Saccharomyces cerevisiae S288C: one gene and its partner. The gene in region 1 interacts genetically with each later gene. Each region holds a gene or a part of one and is shown in the gene's direction. Other genes may lie near its edges. The genes, in order: YKL162C and YOL131W.

What was found.
Region 2: mutations in YKL162C (region 1) and YOL131W together harm fitness more than expected from each alone (negative genetic interaction), as found in Saccharomyces cerevisiae (one large-scale study listed by BioGRID).

The regions. Positions count from the first base shown.
Region 1 is NC_001143.9:147,059-150,881, reverse strand, and holds YKL162C (type II protein arginine methyltransferase), read left to right. Parts: upstream 1-2,043; coding exon 2,044-3,252; downstream 3,253-3,823. Other genes in the region: putative protein kinase KDX1, read left to right, coding at 195-1,496. UniProt on the Saccharomyces cerevisiae protein: Arginine methyltransferase involved in the assembly or stability of mitochondrial NADH:ubiquinone oxidoreductase complex (complex I).
Region 2 is NC_001147.6:70,700-73,865, forward strand, and holds YOL131W (uncharacterized protein), read left to right. Parts: upstream 1-2,331; coding exon 2,332-2,658; downstream 2,659-3,166. Other genes in the region: GAS4 (1,3-beta-glucanosyltransferase), read left to right, coding at 601-2,016.

The DNA.
Region 1 (3,823 bases):
TGTCTTTTTTTGGAAGAAACAAAAGAAGGTACTTTTATGATGTTATACTAGGCAAAAAGCCTATTTAATGTAAGTCCTAATTGTCGTTTGAGACTGGATGAAAAGGGACAAAATGGAAGGATAACTAAAGGTGACTTACCGCCAGATTAATTCGGCCTGGAATAGTTTGATATCGAAGAAAGATTCACAATTAAATGGCGACTGACACCGAGAGGTGTATTTTCCGTGCATTCGGCCAAGATTTTATCCTAAATAAACATTTTCATTTGACAGGTAAGATTGGTCGGGGCTCACACAGCCTTATTTGTTCTTCAACTTACACAGAATCGAACGAGGAAACTCACGTGGCTATCAGAAAAATACCAAACGCGTTTGGCAATAAACTATCTTGCAAGAGAACTCTTCGTGAATTGAAACTACTAAGACATTTAAGAGGGCACCCAAATATAGTGTGGCTCTTCGATACTGATATAGTATTTTACCCAAATGGGGCACTAAATGGCGTTTATTTATATGAAGAACTAATGGAATGTGACCTTTCTCAAATTATAAGGTCCGAACAACGCCTGGAAGACGCACACTTTCAAAGCTTCATATATCAGATACTGTGTGCTCTGAAATACATACATTCTGCTAATGTTTTACATTGTGACCTGAAACCAAAAAACTTACTTGTTAATAGTGATTGCCAACTAAAAATTTGTAATTTTGGGCTATCGTGTAGTTATTCAGAAAACCACAAGGTTAACGACGGCTTCATTAAGGGTTATATAACCTCGATATGGTATAAAGCACCAGAAATTTTGCTGAATTATCAAGAATGCACAAAAGCTGTCGATATTTGGTCAACAGGCTGTATCTTGGCCGAACTACTTGGTAGGAAACCAATGTTTGAAGGGAAGGATTATGTAGATCATTTGAATCATATTCTACAAATACTTGGAACACCACCTGAGGAAACATTGCAGGAAATTGCCTCTCAAAAGGTGTATAATTATATCTTTCAGTTCGGTAATATCCCGGGAAGATCGTTTGAAAGCATACTACCTGGTGCTAATCCAGAAGCGCTTGAATTGCTAAAGAAAATGCTAGAATTTGATCCTAAAAAAAGGATTACTGTAGAGGATGCACTAGAGCATCCATATTTGTCAATGTGGCATGATATAGATGAGGAATTCTCATGTCAAAAGACCTTTAGATTCGAATTCGAGCATATCGAAAGTATGGCGGAATTAGGAAACGAAGTTATAAAGGAAGTATTTGATTTCAGGAAAGTTGTTAGAAAACATCCTATTAGCGGTGATTCCCCATCATCATCACTATCTTTAGAGGATGCCATTCCTCAAGAAGTTGTACAGGTCCATCCTTCTAGGAAAGTTTTACCCAGTTATAGTCCTGAATTTTCCTATGTAAGCCAACTTCCATCACTAACTACAACCCAGCCATATCAAAACCTTATGGGAATAAGCTCTAATTCATTTCAGGGTGTTAACTAAAAGGAAAACACCTTCAAACAAGATACTAAGCATGAAAATAGTGAACTACTGAACGGACCTACTGAGCCAAATATAACAAAAATGAGCCCAGTTTCATCGTCTCCCCCAGGTCACGATATAAATGTCAATGATGGTACAAACCAAAATACAAATGAGGATGACAGCGATTTTTTCTTCGACCTAGAAAAAGAACTTGAATTATTTAGACGATAAATTTTTGTAGCAGAAAACCACAACTAATAGATGCGCACATACACTATCTATAATGAATATGTAAAATGCCTGTTCACCTTCTTAATTATTGGTATATACTTCAAATATTGCAAAAAGAGAAAGTCCTCTCGGCGGTTTTGCAGTTCCTTCCGAAAGCGGGAAAAACCAAAATGTGAGAAAGTAGGATACACCATTGCGTAGATTCGCGATGATCCGAATATAAACATGATTCCCTCGTCAGTCCTCTCTCAAGTTTTCTTTCCCGTTTTAAATAGCTTACTAATATTTTCACAAAAAAGTTGATATCATTTAAAGGTGCTTTTGGCGGGATTGAATGATGAAAAGATTACACCCCTTGAGAATTCAAGTTCATCTGAAATCTGATTACCCACTGTTTACTTTCGAGCAATTACTCTCTACAAATGGGATAAGAAGAGGCCAAACTGCGAGAATTTCTTTGAAAGATTACATAGAGTGGCAAAATTTCCCAAACATAATGAAAAGAGAAAATTTTTTTACGCAAAGGAAGCCTGTAACTACAACCGCAAAAGAAGAACCCTTTTCATTTGATAACATTCTTGACTGTGAGCCACAATTTAGCAAATGCCTTGCCAAATGGCTACTGGTTAATTACAAATTAAATGACTATCCTTATTACGATCTTAACATTGTGAATATTTACACGGATTTACCCCAAGCAATTCAGATTTGCAAAAATTTAATGTCATATCTCAAGTCTACTTTATCTGATAACATGTTCCAGAAAATAAAATATTTCATGGTACCTCTATACAAGTGTGACAAAATACCTTCGAAGCTCTTAGACGGAATACCTGGATCAGTCAGTTTGGTACAAGATTATCCGGTTTCCCCATATTTTTTACAGAAAAAATTTCACATAGAGGATCCAATCCAAATTTTGATGCTTAATGATGTTATAAAATACACAACCCACGATTTAGTAAGGTACTCTTCAGATGACAAAGGGTGGCAACAGTGCTTTGTGGATATCAATAAGAATGGACAAAAATCCAAGAGCTTTGATAGCGCCATTGACTACTCATGTGAACTTGCATTAGAACAAATGTTCAATGATCGATCCCATGTAAGTCCTGGTAAAGAACTTTATATCCCCACTAAATTAATTGAGATATTGATGACAATCAAGAATAATATTCCAGAACATAGACTTTTCATTGTAGACACCCCGCAAAGATCGAGCCCAACAATAATATCGTTATTAAAGAGTTTAATAAGCCCACGGCCGACGGGATCTAGCCAGATAGTACAGCCATATTCGGATTCAATATTTTCAGACAAACGGAGTGGAAGAATATGCTTCATGACGGACTTCTTACAGTTACAGAACATTTATAATGGTATTAACAGTTCTTCTAGTAGCTGCGAAGTCGAAGACGTTGCTGATTTTGTTGAAAAATGGATTAGCCCAAGTGAGAGAAGCACACTTTCGTCGCAGAATGGAAATAGGCCTCAACTAGAAGACATAAAAAATAGCTCTTTGGCGGTGCTACACTCCACGTGATTTCTTTTATTTCGTTGAATTAAAATGAAGACGTTTTTTACAGTAAGCGACCTTAATCTTTGTTTCTATTATCTACACTTTTACGTTTAGTATATTCATTTCATAGGCAGTAGGCATTCTTTTAAGAAAAACATAGCGCGCATATCTTCTCCTCTTTTGTTTCGCAACTCCCAAACAAGATATCAATTTCCCACCACTCTAACGAATGCGAATAGTAACCCCATATTTAAATAATACTATAAGGGTATTCGTACGAGGTAGGATTTTCAGTAGACCAAATAGCCTTCAACGACATCATAAGTACACACTGAGTCTAAGCATTGAACTTTCATATGAATATATGGGACTATAAGAGATGGGTGTGAAGAGAAAGACAAATTTGGGTTGAAGAGTTATAATTAGCCTTATGCAGGTCTCGCTCGCATATTCTTAACTCAATAGGAGCAATTTCTTCCATAAGCTTATATCCATATCCGGTCATTTTCTTCATTTGTGCCTGTAAACGCATATGATTTTTTTTTCTTAGGCACGTTCTGCGTGAAAATTTCCTGTTGCGGATGAGTAAGGTGTT
Region 2 (3,166 bases), on another chromosome or scaffold:
TTGCCCGTAAACATTTAAATCATACCGAGGTAGAAGGATTATGGCATGTTCCTTTTTTTTTAGAGTATGTCAACTGGCGCAGTAGATACATGTTTTTCTCTTCCACGTCGAATTTTGTTATATACATAGCATAATCGAGTTGTATGCACCCTTTTTGTTTATCTCGTTAGTAACTCGGGGTAGGAATAAGACATCCACAAAGGTGACAGAACAAAATCATCCTAGCCTTGTTCATAATCTACCTCTATATAGCCGCTAAAAAATTAGTAGTATTTTGACTCTTTAAGAGCACATTTATTATCAGGCTGCTTTTACATACTTCTTTTGTTTAAAACATTTAAAGACGATCACTGCCCTTCCAAAGGACAAATATATATACACAAACACTAGGCCAAAAGTTCACTTATAATAATTTAGTGGTAATTATGTTGGGTAAAGAAATTGCCAATAGTCTTTTTTTTCCGTATTGTAAGGTGAGACTGAGGTAGCGGCACAAAAAAACGACACATAATAGGATACTGAGTAAAGCAGTATTAAAATAAAAAAATATATTTTACCTCGAACGCTACAAATAAAGCAGAAAAGAACAAAATCGTGAGCATGATGGTTTTTTCGAGCACCTTTATTTTTCTAATTTTGGAGTTAGTTGTACTGTGTGAAGCTTCAGTCCACACCATTCAAATTAAGGACAAGCATTTCGTTGACACAGTGACTGGAAAACCATTCTTCATCAAAGGTGTGGATTATCAGCCAGGAGGCTCTTCCGACGTTAGTGAAAAGCAGGATCCGTTATCCAATCCAGATGCATGCGCTCGTGATATTTTATTATTTCAAGAATTGGGAATAAACACAGTAAGAATTTATTCTATAAACCCGGACCTGAACCATGATGCGTGCATGACTATGCTCGCAATGGCAGGTATCTATCTTATATTGGATGTCAATTCCCCATTGCAAAACCAGCACTTAAACAGATATGAACCTTGGACTACCTATAATGAAGTTTATTTAGAACACGTTTTCAAGGTTGTCGAACAATTTTCTCATTACAATAATACTTTAGGATTTTTTGCTGGGAATGAAATTGTAAACGACAAAAGATCAGCACAATATTCTCCTGCCTATGTCAAGGAGTTGATTGGAACTATGAAGAATTACATAAGCGCACACTCGCCCAGAACAATTCCGGTAGGTTACTCTGCTGCAGATGACCTGAACTATAGGGTATCACTGTCCGAATATTTGGAGTGTAAAGATGATGATAAGCCAGAGAATAGCGTTGATTTTTACGGAGTTAACTCCTACCAATGGTGTGGCCAACAAACTATGCAAACTTCAGGGTACGATACATTGGTGGATGCTTACAGGAGCTATTCCAAGCCAGTTTTTTTTTCAGAATTTGGATGCAATAAAGTATTGCCAAGGCAATTCCAGGAAATAGGTTATTTGTTTTCTGAGGAGATGTATTCAGTATTCTGTGGAGGTCTGGTTTACGAATTTTCACAGGAGGATAATAATTATGGGTTAGTTGAATATCAAGAAGATGATTCAGTACAGCTCTTAGCAGATTTTGAGAAGCTTAAATCGCACTACCAAAACATTGAGTTTCCTTCTATGAAGACTTTAAAGGAAACTGTTCAGATGGAGGAGACGCCATCATGTGCGGAAGATTATGAAAATTTGAAGATTGAATCTAAAATTGCTAAAAATTTAGGAAGTTCTTTGATAAAAAAAGGCGTGAAAGTTGAAAAAGGCAAATACATAGATATTCACGAGGATCAGCTGTCCACCAATGTCACGATTTTAGACAAGCATGGTGACAGATGGAATGGGCCCAAAAAGATTGAAATTAGGCAAAGCCTGACATTGGCAGACCTGGAAGGAGAAGAACAAGAAGACGCAGATGAAGACAAAGATGATTTAAAACGAAAACACCGGAATTCTGCCTCTATTTCCGGCCCATTGTTACCTCTTGGGTTGTGTTTGCTTTTTTTTACTTTTAGTTTATTTTTTTAGACTTTAATGTCGTTCTCCCTTTTTAAAGAGTAAATACATATTTAAAAAAGTGACTATGGCTATTGCTAAACGTGATAAAAATCAGAGCCTATAACACTCTCTGAAATAACGCTATGCAGGAATTTCCAGTTAAGTTCTTCTTGGGGTGACTTCTTTACTCGGTATGATATGTGTTTTATATGCACAGTACGAGTCCATTAGGGTAAATTAGTGGCCGAGAAACTTTTGCCGCCGAGCTTTTAAGTATCCTTTTGCCACTTCTTATTTAGATAAAGACCTGGCAGTAGTAGTCGTAGAAGATAAGATAGACAGAGAATGAATACTAATAAGATAGCACAAGACGAAGTCCAAGATAAGGTTTTGCAAAGAGCAGAACTAGCACATTCTGTATGGAACTTAAGGTTCAACCTCAGTAAAGTTGCCAAACGGATTCGCATGGAAACAAAGGTATTTCCAGAGATAAAGATAAATGACGCGCAATCACAGTTAGAGCGATCTAGGTGTAGAATATTTAGCCCTGACCTGGAGGAAGAACATGTGCCCTTGATTCAAGGCTTTAAATGTTTGGATTCACCCCCTCCCGTTCCACCAAGCTCATCGCAGGGGGAGGATGAAGAGAACACGGTAGATTCGCAATACTAGGAAATTAGAACCGAATCAAAATAGTTCCGATCCTAACTTTTCTACTAATCTTTGAGATTTTATCTCATTAACTCTTTGACCAAGCTATGAAATGCGTAAGATGAACTTTTGTTTGAGAGTGTTAAGTATTTAGGCGTCTACGCTATGATAGCCTCACTCTAGGACGACTGCTTTTTTGGAACAACTTGTTGTTCTCCGATGGTATATTGTGTGTTTATGTATTGTTCTACGTACTCCTCCGTCTCTTTTTCGAGGGCAACGCTTTGAACTAGTATTTTCCGTTATAGTATGTCCCCCCTATATGCAACCCCTTGAATGGACGAATCTCTAAAATATACAACCTTTTCCTCTATAGGAAACAAGTAGGGTCTTCTACGCTAAGGATTACATAACGCATGTATCAAAAACTGATTTTAATTGATTAATTTCAAAATGTCAGCGTAGGTTCACCTAGACTTGTTTTATAGCTCCATTCAACTGGCGGTAGACACAACTAAAGCCAAAAATT